Tamandua tetradactyla: one gene and its partners. The protein of the gene in region 3 binds, or shares a complex with, the protein of the main gene of each other region. Links are inferred from orthologs where the notes say so. Each region holds a gene or a part of one and is shown on either strand. Other genes may lie near its edges.

What was found. Proteins that work in one complex are often made in the same cells at the same time.
Region 1: the proteins of EZH2 (region 3) and JARID2 are in contact, whole or in part, in a cryo-EM structure (PDB 8VNZ), measured with the Homo sapiens proteins. The link is inferred for Tamandua tetradactyla from reciprocal best matches to the Homo sapiens genes EZH2 and JARID2. Residues at the interface, in NP_001190176.1 of Homo sapiens: Arg78, Ile131, Pro132, Tyr133, Asp136, Ile146, Lys156, Val157, Asp160, Arg161; in NP_004964.2 of Homo sapiens: Arg108, Pro109, Arg110, Leu111, Ala113, Gln114, Arg115, Lys116, Thr154.
Region 2: the proteins of EZH2 (region 3) and AEBP2 are in contact, whole or in part, in a cryo-EM structure (PDB 8VMI), measured with the Homo sapiens proteins. The link is inferred for Tamandua tetradactyla from reciprocal best matches to the Homo sapiens genes EZH2 and AEBP2. Residues at the interface, in NP_001190176.1 of Homo sapiens: Ser76, Leu77, Arg78, Gly79, Thr80, Thr100, Asn102, Ala103, Val104, Ala105, Ser619, Asp620, Val621, Ala622, Ile739, Glu742, Met743, Glu744, Ile745, Pro746; in NP_001107648.1 of Homo sapiens: Lys382, Leu383, Lys384, Asn385, Arg387, Arg388, Ser390, Leu391, Pro392, His395, Asp399, Ala400, Gln401, Asp404, Ala405, Arg407, His408, Ile411, Cys412, Leu415.

Annotation. Positions count from the first base shown.
Region 1 is NC_135351.1:18,258,068-18,265,969, forward strand, and holds the start of JARID2 (protein Jumonji), read left to right. Parts: upstream 1-4,593; 5' UTR 4,594-5,132; coding exon 5,133-5,177; intron 5,178-6,287; exon of another isoform or gene 6,288-6,331; intron 6,332-6,614; exon of another isoform or gene 6,615-6,860; intron 6,861-7,902.
Region 2 is NC_135333.1:82,025,894-82,034,145, forward strand, and holds the start of AEBP2 (zinc finger protein AEBP2), read left to right. Parts: upstream 1-4,943; 5' UTR 4,944-5,151; coding exon 5,152-5,807; intron 5,808-8,252. UniProt on the Homo sapiens protein: Acts as an accessory subunit for the core Polycomb repressive complex 2 (PRC2), which mediates histone H3K27 (H3K27me3) trimethylation on chromatin leading to transcriptional repression of the affected target gene.
Region 3 is NC_135327.1:193,079,962-193,088,445, forward strand, and holds the start of EZH2 (histone-lysine N-methyltransferase EZH2), read right to left. Parts: upstream 3,263-8,484; 5' UTR 3,262-3,262; coding exon 3,217-3,261; intron 1-3,216. UniProt on the Homo sapiens protein: Polycomb group (PcG) protein. Catalytic subunit of the PRC2/EED-EZH2 complex, which methylates 'Lys-9' (H3K9me) and 'Lys-27' (H3K27me) of histone H3, leading to transcriptional repression of the affected target gene.

The DNA.
Region 1 (7,902 bases), on a different chromosome or scaffold from region 3:
CACTGAATTACCCTTGTATCCCTCAGTACATTTGCAACCCCCTCTACACTTGCACCCGCCCTTATTTTTACATTAGTGGAGTGAGGATGATAATACCTACCTATCTTGATCAGGGTTCATTTTATAGATAAAATGAAACTATTATGAGAGTGTACTTTAAACACTATAAAAAGTTGTACAAGTGAAAGATAGCATTAGATAGCACAGGGAAAGATAAGGTTGTATTAGGAAATTAATAATGTACAGATCTAAAGAAACTTTCCCTAGCAATTCTTACTTAACACGTGTATTTAAGTCTAGTTAAATTGAAAAGGCCAGCTCTGAAAGGGGAAGAAGGAAATATGGTATAAAGGTCAAAGTAGGATTAGAGCATGTTAGGTCCACAAAAATCTGGGGTGATAACTGAATTCAAACCTCTCATTTTCTACATGATGGACCTGGGGCCCAGAGGGGTCAAGTGAATCTTGTAAGGTCACTCATATTAGAAACACCTAATTCTTATCTCGTGATTCGCTTCCTTGTCAATGGCAGCCTCAATATAAAACAAATCATGCCCCCATGAAAATTCCTAATTAGGAGAGAAAAAATAAACAAACGACATACTTGGCAAGCAATACAACACAGAACACAATTTTAAATCTCAAAAAAATGTGACCAGAGAAGCACGGGTAATGAGAATCCCAGAATGAGTAAGTCAAGCAGCCAGGCTAAATTGGTGATAGGACTAAAGCTGAGGCCTTAGAATGTACGACATAGAATGTAGGTAAATAAAGATACTGTGAAATGGAGTGTAATATGGAGATGAATTGTGAATCATTTCTTAGGAAAACAATGGATATGATTGATGTTTGGAAGCATGATAATCTGTGTCATCCTGGGTGAAGAGGAACACTTCAATGTGCATTTAATACACGACTATTAATTACTTTTTTCTACTTGATCTTTATTAACACTTTAATTCTTACCCCATCCTTTCTTATAGTAAATGAAGTGGTGGACAAGAATGCTTAATTAAATATGATTGCCTAAGCAGATTTAAACCCAGAATAGTGCCTGCTCTTATTTGTTTCTAATGACTTGTCACCTCTTCTTCCCTCACCCCATCAGGTTCCCATTCTTCTTGGAACGGATAATCAATTTAATTAAAGGAGTATAAAAGGTAAAATCAAGGAGTAACTTTAGACACTACCCTCTTTTCCACCATTCCCTACACCTAACCAGTTCCCAAGCCCAGTGGATTTTTGATATGCTAAATATTTCTCAACCTGTCCTCTGCTCCGTATGCTGTTCCCTCTGCCACTTGATTCAGATTATCACCATTTCTCATGTCATTTACGCAATAACAGTTCAACTGGTATCTAGGCCTTCTTGCCTCTAGTGTTTCTATTCTCATTTCTCATAGTGGCAAAACTACCTTTTAAAAGTGTAAATCTGCTTTATACATATGGATAAAATCCTTCTTTAGTTTACAGGACAAAACCTAAACTCCATTGCCTGGCACAAAGAGCCTTTCAGGTCCTGGCTCTCTGTCGTAATTTTGGCTACTCCCAAACAAATAGCAAACCCCATCCCTAATGTAGCAATTTCTTCAACTCTCATGATTATTTTACTTGCTGAAAAGTTTCTCTGCTTATTTCAAACTGTTGACCCCCCTACTTATCCTTCAAAACTTCCTAATTCCTGGTCAGCTCAGCTATTCATTGCCTTTAGCTCCTTTACCAAGCTGCTAATATATGACTTCTTGTCCATATAGTAATTGACTGTAAAGTCCTCTTCTGTTGAGCTATGGAATCAATATACCTAGTGAGGTATCACCCCACCCTCTTGAAGAGGTCAAGAGGAATGCTTTAAGTGGGGAAAATAAGTAGGAGAAAGCGTGAACTAGATTTACAGAACTGAAAGAGGAGAAAAAGAAAGGAAAGGTAATAAATGGCCTTGCTAAGATAGCAGGGAAAGGAAGTTCATCAACAGACATTCACTTCCACAACAGGAAAGGCCTTCAACTGCTAAAATGGACAATCTATTTTTCTTTTCAGGAAAACATCACAATTATCCAAATCTTTAGCAAATTCCTTCTTTCCCCCTGCCTTCAGGACTAAACTAGCAGAAAATTTTTTTAATACCTGGTGATCTGGAGTTGGTAGCCAGCAGGGGAGTTCACAGGCCCAGGACTGAGAGGTCCAGCCTCAGGGCCTAGCAGAGGGAACCAAGAAGAAATCCACCTTTGTTATTTAACATTTGTCTGGAGCATGACAGGTCTGACATGAAACCCCCCAAAAGCTGCTTCAAACCACAACAGTGTGAAGCCCAGACTCCCACTATTTGCAAGTCTTTTGAAAATACCTTGTAACCTAACCATAGCATTTGCTTGGGTGGCCAACACTAAAGTGGCGTCTGTTCTATTGGATCCTTCCCAGCAAATGGTACCAGAGAAGATTTGCAGTATTAAGGCATGGACGGTGATTTATTTTCTTGATTATGAAATGACCATGGGTCAAAATTACTCCATTTTAGAGAGCACTCAGATTTTTTATTTTAAAGGGAAAGTAATAATTAAAAGGGCCTTTAAAAAAGCCTTTCATTCCCAACTAACATTTACAGGATACTTCCTACAAAGTGCCTAGCTCTTAGATATGTTTTTCACAGATTGGGTCAACCACCCATTTGCAGATGAGGAAATTGACGCTCAGCGTGGTCGTTAGTTGCATTGTTCTAGGAAATGGCCAAGGTGGAATTTGAACCCAGGTCTCTTAACATCCATTTCTGAGACCTGCAGTTACTTCAAACACTACTGCAAATAAAATCTAATAATGGTGTTCCTCGTGTATTTGTGTTTGAACTCTTGAGTTAAGCAGAACGGAAGCAATGGGAAGGAAATAAAATTTAGAGGAATGAGAAGGAGGGAGCAAGCGCTTATCCCATTTTCAATTTACTCAGAGGGTATTCTCAGAATAAACTTCAAACATTGCTTCCTCAAAACCACGGTTCTAACAAAAAAAATTAACGCAGAATGGCTGTGCGAGTCTCGTCAAAGTTGTCAATAAGGCAAAGGCTCAGGGCGGTAAAGAGATGCACCAGGTCATGCTATTTCATTTATTTCAGCGTGACAAGGGCGGTAGGGAGAGGAAGGTGAAAACGCGAGCTCTCCCGGGGCTAACTTGGTGTTCCAGATGCTTCCTTACTGTTACCGAGGCTGTGTGGCTTAGTCTCCATATTCCACTTGTTTTTACTCAGCGTTTCAGTCTCACTCCTGGACACACCGGACGCCAACACGCCTGTGAGAGAAAAGATCCTCTTTGATCTCTTCAGAGACGTCTATCTTTTCCACAGGCGGCCCCGGGGAGTGAATCTGGGGCCTCCCCCGACGCCTCTCTCGCGCTCGCGAACGCCGGGGTCGCGCGCCGAGGCGGGGGCGCCCTTTAAACACGCCAGTGCCCGCGATCCCGCGGCCGCCCACCCCGCGCGGAGGGGCGCGGGCGGCTTCGGGGCGTCGAGCGGAGGAAGAGGTGACCTCAGACTACCCCGGAGCCGGACAGGAGCCGCCTGTGTAAACGCACGAGGCGGTGTCCTGAGGTGACACCGGCTGCACCGCAGAAGCAGCAGGCGCCGCCGATCAACTAGTTCGCGCCGAGGATTCCTCTTGGTGCGTGGCCCAGTTCTACTCAGGACCCGCTCCAACCCCTCCCTGACACCGCCCCCCGCGCCGGGAAAGCCGCGCAGGCCGCCTCCCTCTGCCCCCCCGAGCCCCCGACACTGGCCGGCGCGCGCGCGCGCGATTCCTCGATTCCACAGGCGGTTCGCGGCCCGAGTGGGGGCGGGGCTCGCGGGGAGAGGACTGGCAGCCGCGGGCGAGGGGGGTGCGGGGCGGGGGCGAGCCGGCGTGGGGAGTTCCTCGCTCGCGGACCACACGCTCTGCGGGCCAATCCCGAGCCAGCCTCTAGCAGTGTCGCACGCGGGACACGTCCAAGCGTTTGTTGGCAGAGCTGGTGAGGGGGAGGGGGCGAGAGGGAGGGAGGGGAGTTGAATGACAGGCTCGCGGGGCAGGCTGGGAGTTGTAGTTCCCACCTCCCATGGCCATAGCCATTTTGTAGTCGGGGGACTACAACTTCCAGAAGATCAAGGGGACCATTCTAAGGTGCCCCGGGAATAGGCGGCTCTCCCCGGGGCCGGGCGTCCTGGGGCACTCGTACCCAGAAGCCGGGCTGCAGGTAGATGTGAGGGCAGTGGCGGGGGCTAGCGTGTGGGGGCTGTGGGGCGAGCGGCGAGTGGGGAGAAAAGGGGTGAGGTGGAGCGACCGAGCGTGCCATGCATTGGGTTTAGGGATCGTCTGTCAATTCCAGTCCTAGGCTCGGCGTGGGAGAGATGTCTGGAAGGTTGCCTGGGGCGGGCTCATTGCGGTCTCTCGGGTGTCTGGTCGACCGGGCTGCGGGGGTCCTCAGGACTGGGCCAGGGGCGGTGAGCGCCGCGGTTGGCTGGCGCCTGGTGGCTCAGCTGTGGGAGTTTTCGGCTAGTTTTTGAAGGGGAATTACCCGAGGAGCCCTAACTTGTATAAAAGCAGAGTCCATTTAAAGTTGGGCTGGATAGCCTCTCTCTCATTGGTTAGGGGGCTTGGAAAAAAGAGACTCGGCGAGCCCTCGCTGTGGTGCCGCCGCCGCCGCCGCTGGAGTTGACTCTTCTCTCACTGCTGCTGCAGCACAAACGTGACTTCCAACATTTTTTATTTATCTTTCCCTTTTCTTTTCCAAGATGTAACTACATATCAGACACTAAGGACCTTCACGTTCCGCTGATGTAGTTTTTGGAGGAAAAAGGGGGGAGTGAAGGGCGTCGGTTTTTTTTTTTTGTGTGTGTGTGTTTCGGGGGAAATTTTCCATTATGAGTGTTTTACTAAAGTGAATTTTTTTTTGTTTGCTTCGTTCGTCTTTGGCTCTTTTTTTTATTTTTCCTTCCCAATTTCGGATTTATTTCAAGGCGAATCTGGTTTTGGGGGAAGAGGAAGAAAAGTCGGATTACAAGATCAACCACCACGACCAACAACAATAAAAACCTACAGGATTTTTTTTGCAAATTTCTGACGGCTTTAAATTCATGAAGCAATTGTCCCCTTTTGCAATCAGCATTTGGATCTCAGAATGAGCAAGGAAAGACCCAAGAGGAATATCATTCAGAAGAAATACGTAAGTGCTCTTAACAACATATCCTTTGACTCGCAGTTTTAAGCAATGGCTGTGAATGTCAAGTTTATAGATAATTCTGCAGCTGAAGGGTTTTAAACACAGCGTCCGATAAGGCTTTTTCTTTCTTTTCAGAAAGAGGGCTTTTCAGGCAAAGTCGTGTCTGTTCAGTTTGGTCGAAAAAACAGATTGGTGTAGCGATACCTCAAGTGAATAAATTGACCTCGAATGACACAACCATAATGTAGTTTTGGATGAAAGGCAAGGGATTTTGGTGGAGCTTGGGGGGGTGGGGTGGGTGGGCGGTTGCGGTAATGTAACTAAACTGCATTCTCGGGCGGATTTGGCCCCCATATTGCACTTTGCATGCAAATGAGCCTGTTATTATTAATGTTATTTGAAAATCGTATAACGCGTGTGTAGTCTAAGCCTTTTAACTTGCAATCAAGTGTCCGATTTTGGCGACCTTGTTCCTTGCACTGGCACATCAAATTTAATGTATGGGATCGTTTTGGCTTATCTGGTTCGGAACATAAACCAGTTGGGAATCATGTTTCAGCGAATACATTTGTTGGGGTTGACTTTAATAATGGGGCTGGTTTTGTTTAAAAATTCATGGTTTCCAGTTTTAGGGAAAAAAAAGACTGGCTGGTGTTTTTAAGTGTGTGCGTAAATGCATATGTTAAGTGTCTACAAGTAATTTCTTCCTCTTAACTGATCTGATTATTCAGAGGTTTAAATGGTTTGGCACAGTTAAATTTGTTTCGTGCATAGTACAGCTACATTTTGATTGGCATTGGGAGTGTTTTTGTTTTGTGTGTGGTGGCTTTTTTTTTTTTAAGTTTGGGGGGAGGGAGGGGAGCATGAGACTGGGGGATTAACCAAATATATACTCTAGTGGTCGGCTATTAGCTGTACGCGTTAAATGAAAACCCATTTTTTAAAAAGGCCAAATGTTCATACATCGAGAATAATGCAGCGTTATAAGAAAGTTTTATTGGACTCGAGTTGACAAGTTGGGCGTTAATATTCCTTTTTGATATGTGTGGTGGGAGTAACATTCGGGGCACTGGTTTTGCAAAAAAAAAAAAAAATAATAGAAAAGATGAATACCTTTTTTAGAGGGGTGATCCTAATCTAGACACTTTAAACTTCCCCTGTGGAAGAAATTCAAGGTTAAATAATCAAGTCCAACTTAAAATGCTATTCCATAAAGAATTTACGAATTAAAATACATCCGCATTGCAGAGGGTTGGGGAGAATGCAAAGCACTAGTTTAAACTCAGGCTGTATAAACTGCATGGAGGCAACCTTGCCTGCGAGCGTGGAAGCCCTCCCGGGGCACGTCCATTTGGGATGCAGCCACAAAGCAAATTGGGTAGAACTTGGACAAGAACCGCCCCTTCTACACCCCCCACCCCCACCCCCCGCTGCCCCAACCTCGTTAAGTTGGAGAGTAGTGTGGGGCGGATATTTTTTGTGTGTGACTACGCCGGCGGATGGTGCGGCAGCCAAAGTGTCGAGTCCCGCCGCTGTAATCCCGTGTCTGACGGCGGCCGGGGAGGCAGAGCTCGAGTTGTTGCTTTGGGAGAGGAGCCGTGTTCCGGACGTCCTCGGGCCAGCCGGGGAGGGGGCGCCCGGGTCGCCGTGGGCCAGGCTGGATGGCCTGTAGGGGGCAGGCTCCCGGTTCCGGGCGGGGGCGCGAGACGGACGCCGTGCGCCCCGGGACGGCCCGCGGGTGGGGTGGGGCAGGGGCAGGGGGCGCGAGGCCTGCTAGGTCCCGGGGAGTGTGCGGCGTGTGCCGGGAGGGGGCCAGACCGCCCACAGCTGAGGCGGGAGCCCCCACGGTGAGCATGGCGGCGGCGGCGGCCGCCCGGGGGCCGGTTCTTTGCGGCCCTGCCGGCGGGCTCCAAGGCGCAGTCTCGAGCGCAACAGGTTAAGCCGGCGAGACGTCAGTCCGCTCCCCCCACCCCCCGGTCCTCCCCCCGCCGGCGCCCCCGCCCTCCACCCCCGGCTTCTCCCGGTGCCCGTGTGCGTCCCGCTGCGTTCTGTTGTCATTGTGACGTCACAAAGGGACGGGCCTGGGTGGAACCTTCCCCTCCTCCTCTGTGACGTCAGAAGTCGGGCGGGAGGTTCCAGACGCATCCCGGCTGCGGTGGGAGGAGGGAGCGCGGCTGGGGCCGGGGCTGCGGAGGAGCCGCGTGGCCTAACCGCGGCTGTAAATCCGCGTGGGAGGAGGAGCGGGAGGATGCGCTCTGCCTCTGCCTTCCGCCCCGAAACTGCGCTTCCCACCAGGTGAGAGCCGAGAACCTGTCGTCTCGGAACGAGAGCCCCCGGATCTTGCTCTGATTCCGTGGAGGGGTGCAGAAATGCGTTTCCTCCGTTCCAGGTCTTCTGATGGTATTGCGTTTCCAAGGCTTTTGAAAAGGAAGGAAACTTAATTCAGGGAAAGCTTTGATTTGTTGGAGGACACCCTCGTTGAGTGTGTCTTTGCAGGATGTGCACCCTGTGGCGGCTGGGTGATGGCTGAATGCACCGCAGCTTGATGTCATCTGTTGTACTTTCTGGAAGCCAAGGTGGCGGGGGTGGTGTGTGGATCGCTCCTCCTTGGTATGCTGGCTCTCTGCCTAGAGAGTGTATTTTTTGGGGGTAGGGAACACACAGGGAAGACTTATCATTGATTGATATTTCTGCTTGGAAGACCACTGGACTCTAAGTGTATCGGCCC
Region 2 (8,252 bases), on a different chromosome or scaffold from region 3:
ATTCCACTGGTGAAATAAATGTTGTGTCCCCAATAAATGGTTGGCTAGAAAGATTACACGGCTCTATCACCCTTATGTAGGACACCTAACCAGAGTTTGAGTTCCAGGAGAGCAGAGATTTTTCCTTGATTTATCATAGGTATATACACAGTGCTAGGAGCATGGCCTGACGCATAGCAGACATTCCATGTATTCAATAGCTCCAAACCATTATAAATATTACATGTATTTAGATTTTTCCCTGTCTTCCCAGGGATTTGATGGATAAAATATTAACTGGTATTATGATTTGTATGCTACAACAACCGATGTGCTGGGGGTGCAAGGGTAGTTCAGTGGTAGAATTCTCGCCTGCCATGTGGGAGACCCGGGTTTGATTCCTGGTCCATGTACTTCCCAAAACAGACAAACAAACAAGCAAAGAAAGAAAAAACAAACAAAAATTCAACAAATGCCGCTGCAGTAACAGGATACTCATGTGGAAAAAGAATGAAATGTGACTCCCGCCATACAGCATACAAAAATATATATATATGTATACCTAATGTGTCAAATTTAATTTTTGTAACTGAGAGAGTTTTGAACATGGAATAAAGTTGGTTAACAAGTCATATGAAGATACGTGAAAAGACACAAGAATGGTGATATCTATGGTATTTACCTCCCACCTTTTGCCTACTTTCACCTGGAGTTTATAGAAGAAAACTTCACTAAGTTCAAAATGAGAAAATACTCAAAATACTACACAGGCATATGACGTTGTTGTGAAAGGGTGTCAGCCAAAGCAATTATGTCTCTGATGAGAGATTTTAACTCAAAAGCTATAACTATTATTTGGTTGGGTTTTGGTTAGATTACAATCTACAGATTGGGAAAGCTAGCATTAGATTTCTAGATCTTTCCACCTTCACGATCCTATCATTCTTTAAGACGTCTTTCCATGCATATTGTTTTTAAGAGTCAATCAGAGAATGAGGCCATTATGCTGCCACTGATTTTGCTCACGATGGTAACAGCAACACAAAACAAGGCACCTAAAATAAAAGTGCAAAATGTGATGTAGTTACATATTTAAGAGAATTTCTCAGAAGTATCTCACATGCAGTGTAGCAGGAATCTCGGCTTGAATGTAAACTGGATCTGTTGCTGGGGTTCAAGCATGTCTGGGCATGTCTGGCAAACTGGTGAGACAGGACTGAAAGAAACTTGCTTACATGGGGGCTGAGGCTGCTTCCTGGAACAGAACTCATTTTCGTGGAAGAAAGAATTAGACAGAGAAGCCCTATAAGAAAGACTTACTCATTGGATGGGGAGTAATAAATACAGCGTGGGGTAGCTGCTACTCAAATCTGTCGCCATTCTAGGCCCATGAAAGCATGTCTGGGTCCCTTAGAGAGACAGACTTCTGAATAAAAAACATAAAGAGCTGTTTCACTGAAACAGTGTATAATACTGGGCATAAGCAGTTTGCTTTGGGGTTCCCCTAGCAAAGGTCAACACGAACGTCTCCATTTCTTCAGACGACACCATGGCTTGGGCTGTTTGTATCACATGCAAAAGCTCCTGGTAGGAGTTTGCAGTGTCTAGAACAGTGAAGAGGGCTCTCAGAAATATTTTTTTGGTGTACTCTGCTGGAAGCTGATGTCCTGACTATGTAAGTAGGCTTGGTAGGCACAAAAGATAATGATATTTGAGTTATTTTTGTTAATGCGACCTCATTAATACTATAATTGATGAGTTTGAATAATATTTGTAATCAATTAGCTTTTATGCAGTATTATTGGGCAATTTGTAATTATTTATAGGGTCACATACTGTCTGAGCTGAAGCGAACTGTAGAACAGTGATTCTCAATTTGTGAACAGTTTTTTGTCTTTCTTTTTAATTTGCAAAGGACTGCTACTTGTGTAAAGTACAGTGAAAATGAATGGCCAGAATAATGAAATTAAAAAAAAAAAAACAACAGTTGACATAAACAAAAAGGATTGATTTTTATTATTAGGTTCAGCAGACGTAAAACAGAATTACTCTGTCGGGTTGTTAACAAAGTTTGGAAACGTTCATTTCGGTATTTTTGCGGTCGCATTCAGGTAAGGAAGGCTTTGTGTTGTGTTTGTGGAAGCAGCCACGCTTTCCGCTGTCTCTTCCAACCTCTCAGCTGATGCTGCCTAAAGAAACTCTATCAATGGAGGTGCAGAATCTATTAAAACAACGATTTAAATTTCGAGAGTTTAATGACACCGATACACTGTGGTAATGTGGAGAAAGATCTTGTTTTTAGGAGACGCATGCAGAGTAGTGACGTCTGCAACTGAAGCCGATAAACCTGAGAGGGAAACTGGGAGAGAGGGATAGAGGGAGGCAGAGGGAGGGGGAGAGAGGGAAGTAGAGAGGGTGCACATATGGCAAATTGCAGTAACTGATGAATCTAGATAGGTGTATGGGTGAGCTTATTATACAATTATTTAAACTTTTTAGAAAACTTGCTATTAAAATAACAAAAAACAAACAAAACCAAAAACAAAATAAACACCACCCCCCGGAAAAAAAAACAACTCTGCAGTAGTGGAAAACTCATTATTTTCTCCAAAAAACCCAATTTCATCTTAAAGTATAAATATTGTAGCTGGAGCACTCATTTGTGGCTTTGATTACTGTCATTTCCATGTGTAAATCTCCATTCACTTTTTTTTCAGTCCCTCCATATCCCCTATACATTAGATATGGCCTTACTACATAGCTGTACTCACACCTTTCTTAAGATACCTCAGAATATACTCGTTATTTTTCAGCATCAAAACTCTTAATTCAAGACCTGCAAAAGCATTGCTTTCTCATGATTGATTAACCCTGTCTCAAATAAACTTTTATGCTTTTCTATGCTATTGCTTCTGTCTTAGAATTCCCCCCCGCACAATTATATTTTATTTACTCTTCAAGATCCAGCTCAAATTATTTAAATTTACATGTAGCTATCATCTACCTTACTTTCTACACTTCTGTTTAAATCTTACATTCTTCACGAAGTTTCCTTGATGAACTCAGCCAAAGGTCTCTAGTACTTAACAGAGAGCTTGGTGATTACACTCAGTAAACAGTTTTGAGTGAATACGCTCTGTTTAGTTCTTCATTTTCAATAAGGGTGTATTATCAAAAAATGGCTTTGAGGTAAAAATGGAGTACTGTAGTGAAGGAACTATAATGCTTTCATACTAATTTTATTTTGTTTTCTCTTGAGACAACATCGCATGTAACTGATGTCCAAAACCTGAGCATGAGACATAATACTGGGGTACTCACGGTATATGAAGACTTTCCCGTATGTGTATGAGCACAGACTCTATTTTAAGGCAATAGGTTGTCTGATACTCATCTCCCTTAGACAGGTGTCCTTAAAATTGATCTGCTTGAAAATGTGCCCTGGGTTCAGGGTGCAGTGCAGACTACCCTCCCTTATTCCAATTGCCTTTCTCCCAAACAAAAGAAATGAAAGCATGATGCACACTCACCTCAAATCTTAAGGGCCAAAAATCTCCCAAAATTTTACTAAAAGGGCAAAAAAACCCTCCAGGATGCAAAAACCTCCAGAACACCAATGAAGGGGCAAGTGGAAATACTGTGGGTGAGTGAGAATGAGGAGCACATCCATTACAAATCAGGTGGTTTTCAGTTACACACAGCAGAGTTGAAGGAAAACCTAATCAGAGTTGTCAGCTGAAAGATCATTGAAAGTATTTTGTTGTTGTTAAATCTCTATGATTTTTTGGCATATAATTTGGAAGGAGTTCAAAGATTTGAGTGACATTGCTATTATTCACAGAAGTCCATTCATTCGCATCTACTTATTGTTGTGAACAAGTTTCCTCGGTGTCTACATCCACGGAATTGAAAACTTGGAATAGAATTAACGCTGAACTCCTTATTTTTCTAGTAATATTCAGCCACTGATTAAACTTGTTGAAACAAAAACCTATCTAACTCCATTGCTGTAAGAATGGTCTCCTCCAGGTTTTACTTTTGTGTTTAATACTTACAAAAATTTACCATATGTGTTTTGACTAGTTGTAATAACACTTAGAATCTTATGGTCAGTAAAATTAAAAAAAAAACCCTTAAATTTCAGTTTGTATGCACATTTTTGTTATACGTTAAGAGTGATAGGATCAATAAAAGACAAAATGTTTTATTGGGATAAAATACTGGAGGGGAAGTTTAATACAAATAAAAGTTCCAAAAGATAAAGGAAAGATTGACAATTTCTGTGTAAAAGAAGAGATTGTTCACGTATTCTAAAAGAGTGGATTTGGCGGGTATTAAATCCCTATGGTATTGGAATTGCCTACATTTAAAAAGGGTGACAGTTACATTTTAAAGCCAGTACTTATAACACGCTGGAAAAAAACCGTAGGTGCCATCTACGTTTAAGACTGTACATAGTTTTACAAAATTAAGGGGCTCATGACTTACAACGTTTGAAGACTTCTCACCCAAAGGATGGATACTCTGAGGTTATGATTTCACCATCATTACAACTATTCAAACAGGTTAGATTTAAACCTGTGGCTCTATGTTGCACATATGGACTTAGTAACTTGTATGATTTAATTTGGTTCCTTTTAATCGCCTCTCCTTGGAGATCATAACCTCTCTTAAGGCCAGGAACTTATTCCATCCCAGGCTCAGCGCCAGTACGCAGCGGACACTCCCCAAATACCGCCGAAACAAATGACTTTCTCGTGCGAATTCGGAGGGTTGTTAAAATCCCCGGTCAGCGTTGGGGTTTCAGTTTCTTGTGTTGCGCTCGCCGCGCTGCCCGAGAGCGCGTGGGAGGACCCCTAGGAAACTCTGACGGCACCGAGCGGGAGCTGGGGCGCGGGCGCGGAACCTGCGGACTGGGGAGGCGGCACCTCATGCTCCGCGCAGGCGCGCAACTGTCTCCGCGTGAGTGCGCGTAGTCGCGCGCCTGTCCCCGCGCGGGCTCCGTAGCGCGTGTGCAAGCTGACGCAGCTCGCGGGCCCTCCTCCTGCTCTGCCGCGGCTTCGGCGGAGTTTTGGGCGTTTGGGAGGGGGCGAGGGAGCGAGAGTAGAGACAGCGAGAAGGCGGCAGCGGCGGCGGCGAGGAGGAGGAGGAGGAGGAGTAACAGGCGCCGCCATGGCCGCCGCTATCACCGACATGGCCGACCTGGAGGAGCTCTCCCGCCTGAGCCCTCTGCCCCCTGGCAGCCTCGGCGCGGCGCGAGGTCGGGCTGAGCCCCCTGAAGAGGAGGAGGAAGAGGAGGAGGAAGAAGAGGAGGCGGAGGCCGAGGCGGTGGCTGCACTGCTGCTGAACGGCGGCGGCGGTGGGGGTGGCGGCGGCGGAGTGGGGGGCGGCGAGGCGGAGACGATGTCGGAGCCTAGCCCCGAGAGCGCCAGCCAGGCCGGGGAGGACGAGGACGAAGAGGAGGACGATGAGGAGGACGAGAGCAGCAGCAGTGGCGGGGGCGAGGAGGAGAGTAGCGCCGAGAGCCTGGTGGGCAGCAGTGGCGGGAGCAGTAGCGACGAGACCCGGTCCCTGAGCCCCGGCGCTGCCAGCAGCAGCAGCGGGGATGGCGATGGCAAGGAGGGCCTGGAGGAGCCCAAGGGACCGCGGGGTAGCCAGGGTGGCGGTGGGGGCGGCGGCAGCAGCAGCAGCAGTGTAGTCTCCAGCGGCGGCGACGAGGGTTACGGGACCGGGGGAGGCGGAAGCAGCGCGACCTCCGGGGGCCGGCGAGGCAGCTTAGAAATGTCTTCGGATGGGGAGCCCCTAAGCCGCATGGACTCGGAGGACAGGTCAGTGCACCGAACCGTCTCCCCTTCCCTATGCCCTCTTGCACTCCTGGACCCCTTTAGGGGACTTTCTGCTGAGACCCCCGTGTTCCCTGAACCTTCGGCGCCTCCCCCAGGCTCTCAACTCCGAGATCTCCGACCGCCGCGCCCCTTTCGCAGCGGATAGCGGCTTCTAACTCTCAGACCATTTTTCTCCAACTCTCCTTTCCCCGCCCTCTTCCCTCTAGGCTCTGTGCTTCTTATGGACCTAAGGGGAGCTCTAACTTGGAAACAATCCCCAAATAGGTCCCCGATCTCCTGGTGGAGCACGAGGAGGCTTTGATGTACACCTTGGTACATAAGGTTAGCTTCATTCAACCGTCCTCGTGAACACTTGTCAGAACTATAATTGACAAGTGTCTTCCAACATGGCTGGTCTCGCCTGGATTTAACATAACTTCCTTGTCCAGGAAGGAGACCCCAATTATCGCTTTTCTCTACTTAAAGAAAAAAAAAATAAAAAAGGAAGATTGTGCTTTTATATTTAATCAAAGCTTTCCAAATTCCTCATTTGCAGTCATTAATGTGATTTCTGACATGATTTTAATAATCTTTTCTGTTTTGTGGTCAAATCTGGAAGTTTAAAACGCGTGTAAATTATCGTGGAAAGAATAATGAATTGCTGTTTTTTAAAATAACGGGCGTCAAAAAGTAGTAATGATAATACAGTGTCGAAGGTTCAACATACTAGTGTGTCGTTTAAAATCTTTAAAAAGTAATGCTTCGAAGTGAGAGTCACGATTTTAGATGATATTAAAAGTCATGTATGGGAGAGGCCTATGAAGAAATGAGTATCATTTTCTAAAACTTGCTAGGAATAAAGTGGAGACTGATTAAAAATGCATCCAGTATTTTCAGATTTGATAAAAATATTGTAATAGTATGTTTCCGTTCACAATCATTACACTGATCCCTTTGGAGAACTTAATGTTTTAATTAACTGGTTTTTAATGTACTTTTAAACAAAAGAATTATATGCATCATGCATATTATATTTCTAAAGTATATTAGCATTTATTTTAATCATCTAATATTTTGAGGAGCAGTAGGATTTTTAACAATCAGTATTGATTTTGATTTAAGAGTTTAAGTATTCTAAAGTTTTTTTTGCAGGAATTTTGATGAACAAAAGTAAAACTATCTTCAGTGTTACAAGGAATACAAAGGTCTGAATATTTTGGAAATCTAGCATTAGATTCTGTTCCACGTTTACTTTGTCTAGTTAAAACAGTTTGGATGGAGTAAAATAGACTATGAATGTTAGAAAAATTGTTCGTACCTAGGCAGGAAGAAGAATGTTCTCAAGAAAATTACAGATTATTTGTGAACTGCATAGTGAATTACGTGCTGTTTATCATTTTGTTATATTCTTCACTGCTACCACTAGAAGTTGATGTTAGGTTATACAGTCAGCATCTATCGCAGTTCCTTGTATTTACTGAATATTCATACACACACATAAACACACACATAAACATCCACATTTGCCTAATACTGCACAGTTTAAATGTTTCAGCTTTAGTACAGGATATTATTTTGACTTCCATTTAATAGATGATGAAACAAGTTGAGTTGTGTCTTACTCAAAACAATTCAGCTTGGGAGTTAACAAAGGTTCTCAAGTCCCCTGTTATTTCAATTTAACAAGACACTGAATAATTCACCTTAAGTAGCAAGTTGTGTATGTCAGATTTTGTTTGTTGCGTTAATTTCTTTCCATTACATCTCCTAAGGAGACAGTTTGTTGGCCATGTAATATTTCAGAAAGGATGAATTTTGGTTTCATTTGACATTTAATAGATAATTTCTTTGAAAATCTAATTTTTACATCCTTCAAAGTAAGGAGTAATGGTTTCAGGTGGTTAAAACGTAGATAACTAAGCATACTTGTCTTTTCTTAAAGAATGCTTAAATATTAGAGATTTCAAAATTTTGTGGTAATTTTTATATACAGTTTCAGGGTATTAAATTAATCACTTGGATGAAAGAGCTTTATATAAGTAGTGAACCTGGTTGCTGGTCTTGAACTTAATTCTGAAATGTCCTCTTCTTGCCTCTGAAGGTCCCCCCTCTCCCCCCAGAGTTGTTTTAATTTGGAAAGAATCCATAATTCTTATAAATTATCCTGCAGATTACGTCAATCTGTGGGGATTTCATAGATTGATTTCATGGAAGGAAGTCTTTATTTTTGTAACTGATTGAAGCATATCATGGCTGTCAGTTGCTTTTAAAAATATTTGAGACATTACAATATCCTTAAAACTTAGGTTTGTTCAGTTTTTCTGTCATTTCGAAATTAGGTGGTACTTTTGATTTTATTTGAAAGCTTTAGGGTTTGTTGGATTCAAATTTTTTTTGCATGGGCAGGCACTGGGAATCGAACCCAGGTCTCCGGCATGGCAGGTGAGA
Region 3 (8,484 bases):
AAATCATCCCTTAAATCCTAATTTCTCGGTTACAACGCTGGTAAAAAGGACTCCATGTTTTGATTAGAATCTGCAATTGCAGCACAGTAGACCAAGTTTGCATGCAACAACTGCACACAATACTTAGGTCTTTTCTTTATTTTGACAGTCCTTAGAATATGATGGTTACTTCCACTCAACATCCGAACAGCAGCGGGAGCCATGTCTCCCTGGTCCGTCTCCAGGCTGCAAACGCCACAGACATGTTGCTGACATCCCCAGTACGTCTCAAGAGTGCCAGACCACGCGGCCTTTCTGAAAAGCCCTCAGCAAGTGTAACTAGAACCTAAAGAATCATTATATTCTGACATCTGGTGATTTCACTCCCAAAAATTTATACCAAGAAAATAACTGGTATTGAAAGATGCATGAACTCAGGATGTTCATGCTGGCATTATATAATACAGTGAAAAAATGCAAATAACTGACGTGTCCACCGTTAGGGGTATGAGTGAGTAAATTATGAGCTGTCTACAGGATGGACTGTTACCCAGTTTCTAAAAAGGATGCTCATGAAGAGAATTTAATGGTACGGGGAAATGCTTAGACTTCATAAGTAAGTTAAGCAAAAGTAGCATGGTTAAAAAAAAAAAATGTATTAGGCATGATCCCAACTGAAAAAAAAAACGCATAGAGAAAGGGATTGGAAGAAATAACTACTTGGGTAGTAGACCAATTAGGTCATTTTTAATTTTCCTCTTCATATTTTTCCACATTTTCAAATTTTATCTAACAATCATGTATTTGCTCCTATAATCAGAAAAAGCAATAAATCTTTTCCAAAATGTCTGGGTATCCTGGTGTGGAGACACTGATCCCAAGCAGATGTGAGGGCGGCCAGGAAAGCAAGCAAAGCCGCTTCACTTCCCTGTCACCTGCAAGGGCCAAAGACTCCTACTCTACTTGGCTCTCATATTCCCTGGTTGAATATTCCACGCTGGATTCAAACCGCAGCCACCATTCCATTGTTGCGACAGTGTCAGATTCAGAACAGGCAGTGCAGGGCCAAGACAGGATGCTCCTTTCCCAACGGCACTGTCCAGTGACTTGTCTGCCCGGTCTCATCATTTCAGGATGGGACCCACCTGGAGGACACAGTGTTTCCTCCTGTAGCCATATAAACATAGCTCACTGTATTCAGTTAGATAGCTTAAAAAGAAAAGGACTGTATGGTGTGTGAATATATCTCAATAAAACTGCATTCAATTAAAAAAAAACAGAAAAGAAGGGATCATTAGCATGAATCTAGGAATTTATAAATGTTTTGGATAATGGGAAGGGAAAAAAGAGGACATAGATACAATGTTGATCAAAGTTATTAAAATTAAATCCCTGAAGAATCATACTCAATGATTATTAATTAATTCAAATGACCCTTTATTTAATGTGCTTGGTAGGTGCTAGGCATTAGATTAGGCACCTTTCACCCCTGCAGTAATATCTTTGATGGAGAGAAAGAGTCAGGGGCTTAGAAGGAGCACATTAGCCCTGGAGAGACCCAGGCTCAGAGAGGGCTCCTGCTCCACCTTTTACAGATTGTGGCCCTGGAGGAAGTTATTTCATTTCACTGATTTAACCTACCTAATGGAGTAGGCTCTAAGGACTAAATGAGACAGAGCTAGTAAAGCTCTTAGCACAATGGTTGGCATGGAGGTAAATCTCCAAGAACATAAAAGAGGGCAAGCAACTTGAGTCCTTGTAGATCTAGAACTAAAACTATTTCTATTAAGATGTAGAGCTAACCTCTCACCCCACCATTTATAAATACTTGCTCTACATCTCATTTTATTTCCTTTGAATCAAATAAATATTATAGGAGGGAGAAAAAGATAACCTGTTCTATCAATTTCCAAAGATATAGACATCACTAGTGTAATATAAGTGAGATAATACAAGGAAATTTGCAAATTATTATACAAACTATGATTACTGGTATATAAATTTTCACCTCAATTGACAAAAAATCTCCAAATTTCTAAAGATGTCACTACAACAATTATTCGCCTTTAAAATACAGCTTTGACAGCATATCTCTAAATCTACTGCCTTTCCTAGATTGCATGTATTTTAAAAATCTAAACTTTTTGTGCCACCAGTTTTTTCTACGACAATGTTTAGTATCTTAACTATCTGAGGGTTCCTTCATTTTTCAGGAATTCCCAATCCCAGTCCCAATATTTCTATAATTTCCAATTTTTTTCATTGATCACAATAAATAAGAAAGTAACCTTAGGCCTTTTTCTGTACAATTCTCTGATTTGTCTTTACAGGAAGGTAAAACAGTCAGTCATTGGAAAGCCCTAACGAACAGGCTTTACTCTGAATAACTGCAGGAAATCTATCAAACTTTCCCAAGAGAATTTCTTTAAAAGGCCAAAGATTCTGATATACTGAAAGGCTTACATATTGAAAGTATTTCTGGCAAATGAAACACCCGGGTTCTGACCAACATCCTTGGCCAAAACCCTCTCCTTTAATTAAGAAAAACAAGGGTTTGGTTGGCAAAAAAATTTGTGCAAAATACTCAAGTGCGGACAGTCTCCTCTCAGTTTTTCCTTAAGCTTTCATTAAAATCTTCATTTAAAGCTTCGAAGGCTCACCCATGGTTTGCATTTCCTAATCAGTTCTTGATAAGAAATACCTCGGCCGCCGTGGTGGATTGAGAAACGATGACTAATTTATGAGGCATTTAAACTGCTGAAGTTCTCTTTTTAACAAACACGGCGTTTCCTGGGTGGTATTTGCAATTACTGGAGGAAAAGAAGGAAGTCCTGCTGGGGTCACCTGTATGACCCCCATTGACTTACTCTTCATCCTTAACCAATTTGGAACCTGAACAGTAGACGACCGCGATTTCCGGGGACGGGGACTTTTAGGGATTAAATGGAGCAGGCTGGTGGGAAATACAAGTCCCTAGAGACGGAAAAGGAGGCCAGCGCTCTGCCTCCCAGGAACTCCGGATTCCGCCGGATCCGCGTCTGCGAAGACCAGACGTGGCTACGCGGTTCTGAAACTTCTATGAATGTGAGGGGGAAAACCCGCCAAACAAGCAGGCGCAGGTCCCACATGGCAGCGCAGAGGCAAAAGAGTGGCTAGATTCCTTCGGTTATTCACTCGGCGGTTCCGCCTCTACGAGGGCAGGGCGTGGGTTCCCAGCTCCAGCTGGGCTGTACTTACCAAGACTAGCGAGCAACTTCTCCAGCCTTCATTGCTGGGAGCCATACGCCTAGTTTACTTTCAGATTTAGCTAGGTGTTACCCATAATGCACTTGTAAAAGGGAAATGCAAAAAAGGTTGCTAGCTGATAAAATTCTTGCAAAACTATTTTAAAAAGAGTAATTTTGTTTTATTTTCACTGAATTTAGTCGGAAACTATTACGTATTTTTCCTGTCAAGATTGTGAAATAGGTCATGAAAAGTGTCCTTACTTAGAAAAGAGTTCAAAAAGGAACTATAAATAGGCAGAGATTAACAGTTTGTATCGGTTGGTCCGAGGGTTGTGGGTTATTGTTAATCTGTTTAGCATTGTCTCCCCCCACAACCACGCTTGACTAACTGTCGTTTTTTGCCATAGAGCTAACAGCAGCAGTTGGTAGGATTTGTACGAAGATAATTGAGATGTATGTGAAAGTAATCTTCATGTGACAGTTTGAATAGGAGAGTATTTTTGAAGTTGCCTATACTTCAAATGAACCTTCAGCGTTCTGAGAAGATAAAAGATTTTTACTCTTATAATGGTTAATTTGATATTATACAGGAATGCACTTCTCATTTAGGAGAAAAGAGGGAAAAACAAGTTGAAGAAGGTCCCTTTCAAATATGCGTATAGCGTGCTCATGAATCTGCGTGTTACATAGAAAAGATCTGGAAGATGTATACCAAATTGCTAAGTGTTTAACAAGGGAGTGGGATTTCAGAGGAAGGCATTTAAAGAAATATTTATAGGTTAAAAAAAAAGATACAGCAAGTTTGTTCTATTAATTCAGTCATTAATTATGTTCTATAATTCAGTCATTCAGTAGGTGTGGATGAACGTGTTTTCCATAAATTTGGTTTTTTATATAGTTTCACATATAAAATACATAGGTTCACAGATCAGGGTCAATTTAAAACCATGTACATCAGTTTAAGCTCTGTGGTAAGACTTACTGATTCCAGTATTAATCCACCATTTTCTGTCTTTAGTTGTCAAGCAGTGGTCATCTCTTTGGTTTAGTCACCACGGTAGTTAGACTTTACATTTAGACTCAAATCATGAGGTTTCAACACAAGGCTTTCATATTAGCAAATAAACTTGACTCTTTTGTTGAGAAATATGCACCCTCTGTTATAAGTTTGCTCCATTTAAGAAAAACAAAGAGTCTTGAAAAAATTTGGAAGAAAGGCTCTACTTTCATTAAATCTTGATAGATGAAAATGGTGTTGTTTGTTAACAAGCATTATTCTTAGCTGGAGAAGTTGTATAGCTTGCATTTGCAGGCTGGTGGGAGCTCACTGAAAACAGGTAGTTTGTGTCATTTGTCTTTAGTAAAGTTAATACATAAATTAACTCCTGAATTAAAAGACATTAAGAAACAAAATGCTAGAAATGTCAGAATACCAGGATCTTGTTCAATGATAGTCACTTAAATGTTTCAAATTACAAAAAAGTAAATAAATAATTCTATCAGAGGTGAAGTCCACCGTAAAAGAAATGGACTAGAACTAAACTTTTTACCTAGGTAATTTCAATCCATTACTCAGGCACAAGAGTGACGATGATTAAGATCCTATGTTCTTTGTGTCAAATAAGTTTTTCACAAAGATATCTGTATCACAGAAAAAAACTGTAACATTCTTATAAAAAGATGACGAATTTTTAAACAATCACACACACATATTTAGACATATATAAAGAGAAAAAGAGAAATCTGGAAATGAGTGTTATCATTCAGCCTTGCCACTTGAGGGGATTATGCAATGATCCCTGCCTATCGCTATTTACCCCCTTGTGTAATCCCCTCTCCTTGGGGGTGACCTGAATTTTTTGACTCATCTCTAAGAAATTGAATAAGACTAAAGTAATGGGATATTATCACCAAGGTTAGTTTTAAAAAAAAAAAAAAAAGACTGTAAATTCTGCCTTGAGTTCTCTGTCTCTGTCTCTTTGAGTCTCTCTTTCTTTCTTTCTCATCCCTTCCTCTGAGGAAGCTGCCACTGAAGACAGCAGTATGGAGAGGCCACACCCAGTGAGGCCCTAGGCCCAGCAACTGCCACATAGAGTTAGAAGCAGATTTTTCCCCAGTTGAATCTTGAGATGGCTGCAGCCCCAGCCAATACGTTCATCTCAGCCTTGTGAGAGACCCTGAGCCTGAGGACCTGGATAAGCCGCCCTGGATTCCTGACTCACAGTCACTACTGAGAAATTAAATGTTTGTTGTCTTTAATCGCTCCCTGTTGGGTTATTTTGTTATGCAGCAATAGATAACTGATATATGCATTTGATCCAAAGGCGCTGCCATTGCTTAAGCGTATTTGCAAGGCTTCTCTTTTGGAAGTGTGCTTCAGAGAAAATGGGCCATCGTTACTTTAATCACACCCGTTTTTCCCAAGAATGTACTTCCCAGCTTGCTCGCATTATACTCACCATCTTTGGCTTTGAAGGACATCAGGCTATTTTAAAAAGCAAATCTATCTTCAAAAAAGGAAGATTTGCTGCCATGGGTAATATTATGGAAGAACATGTACAGCTTCTGAAGGCAATTTTATTTGGTTTCAAATATATTTTAAAGATTTTTTTTATTAAAGCAGCTGTAGGTTTACTAGAACTTTATGCAGCAAGGATAGAGTTTCCATACAACTCCCTCGGCCCCACCACCACCACCACACACCACACAGTTTTCCCTATTGTTAACATTTGGCATTAGTGTGGTACTGGTTTTGATACCAACAAAAGACAGTTTCTCTGCTTGGTGTGCATAACAGCTAATCCATGACACCAGGGTTTCAAAGGGAGAAAAAGCATATTAGTAAGGGAGAAGCAGGAGATCAAATGGCCTATCAACCCCAAAATCTCTCTCTCCCAATCTAAGGAGTTCAGGATTTTTATGGATTCAAACAAGGGGAGATGGAATTATTACCATTATGATATCAAATATAAATAGGGTTCAGACCAGGCTAGAATAACCATTACAGTAGTAGCTATAAATAAGAGTGGGACTAGTTTGAGTTTCAGTAATGTCAGGTATTAACGTTAGGTTAGTCTACAAAAGAAAATACGGTTCTCTATATAATGATCCAGTAATCATAATCATTTATTAATTCTTAACATTTTGATTACAGTTTCACATATATTTTGACCAATAGCTACATCATTGGAATAGTTCTTCCAAAAAGAATAATACTTACTTTGGATATTCAATGCCCAGAGTATCTAATGAATGTGTTGTGCTGTGTTTATTTACTATTTAGCAAATGTATGACACTTGTTACTGATGATAATCTATGCCTAGGTTTTATAGATGAGGAAACAGAGACAGGACTTGCCCAAGGGTGCGCCACTAGCAAGTAGACTAGCAGGCAGTCTGGTTTCAGGGTCCATGCATTTTACTATAAAGCTATTCTGACCACATTGGTTTAAAATTAATCACTTTGTTTTATAGTTGTATTTCATACAATAACAAACTCAAGACAACAATAAATGTTGCATGCTTAATATTCATTGTAGTAAAATTTCATCTCTGTAGTCAAATAAAAAACAAATCCAGGTTTGGTAAGGGAAGATTTTATTCAAAAGGATCATTGCAAAGTATGAATGGGGTTATTGCAATAGAGAGAAGGGCCTGTAGTAAGGGGGAGACCTCTCTGACCATCAAGAATTAGGCAAAATGAGTCTTTCTATTATACAGAGGAAAGAAACCAGGTGTAGGGTAGTGGGATGAAAGGATGACGTGGTCAGATAATAGATTAGAGAATATTTTATGCTTTGAATCAGCCTATTTTCTGGGAGGTTCCTTTAGAGTTCAGGTATCTGGAGGAAGAAGAGAAGTTTAACCCAGGTTTGCTTAGTAAACTTTGTTCTGATTGATCATTTTGATCTGATAGATCAGTGGAGATAAGCAATTCAGCTAGCCATTTATGAGGTATTTTAGATTGTTAATGCTGCCAGAATACAGTATACCAGAAATGGAATAGCTTTTATAAAGGGAATTCATTAAGTTACAAGTTCACAGTTCTAAGGCCATGAAAATGTCCAAATTAAAGCATCAACAAGAGTTTACTTTCACTCAGGAGAGGCTGATGTTGTTTGCAACACTTAGTCAGCTGGAAAGGCAGATAGCTGGCATCTGCTGGTCCTTATTCCTGGTTCTGTTGCTTCCACTTCTGATGACAGTGTTTTTTCTCTAAGCATCTGTTGGACTTCACTCAGTTCCTCCATGACACAACTCTGTATTCTGCCTTGCTTAGCATCTCATGGGAAGGCACATGGCAACGTCTCCTGGGATCTACCAGTGCCTAGGCATCCGTGTCTCTGTCAGCTCTGAAACAACTGTTCTCCAAGAGTCTGCATCTGCATTTCCAAGTGTCTGTGTCTGCGCCTGCATCTGAGACTTCTTCAAAATGTTTTCCCCTTTAAAGGACTACAGTAAACCAATCAAGAACCACCTTGAATGGGTGGAGTCACACCTCCATCTAATCAAAAGATCACACCCACAAGTGGGCATGTCACATCTCCCTGGAGATAATCTAAAAAAAACCTTTCTGCCTACAGTATTGAATCAGGATTTAAAGAAATGGCTGATCCCACAAAATTGTATCAGGATTAAAACATGGCTTTTCTGGGGTACATAATAGTTTCAAACCAGTACATGAAGCAAAGAATGGGTATGTGGAAGGTCTGTGTCTGTCCTTGTCATGGGTAAACTGGGGGGGGAGGGGGGTAGCATCCATAAGTGTAAGGACCCAGTGTCTGGACCCCATCCTCTCCAGTATTTTGTGAGCAAGTCACTTATCTGCCTACATGACCAGGCCAGACATTAAAGATCAAAGAATATACACCTCCTCCCCTAATAACCAAATCTCATGAGACTCTGCTAAAATTCTACTGTACCAAATCTCACAATGCAGTTAAACTTTATAAGCCTTTCCATGGGCATGCTCTCTTTCTTTTTCTCTCTTTTCATTGGGTGGAGTGCAGACTCATCTTCCAACCAGCCACCACTGGGGAAGATCTTCCTCCTGTCCATAATCCCCTAGTTAAACTCATGAGTAATCTTCTGTCCAGCATTTTCTTTGGTCTCGGGGGTTATGCTGGACTGGAATATTTGGCGAGCCAGCCAGGAGAACAAAGAGCCACCAGCTGTAAAGGGCATGCATCTGGGACTCTATTGGGGTAATCCCGGGATGGCATACTTCCTTGGTCTGGGAAGGGGTCACCCACTTGCTTGACTGTGTGGAATCAGTTGG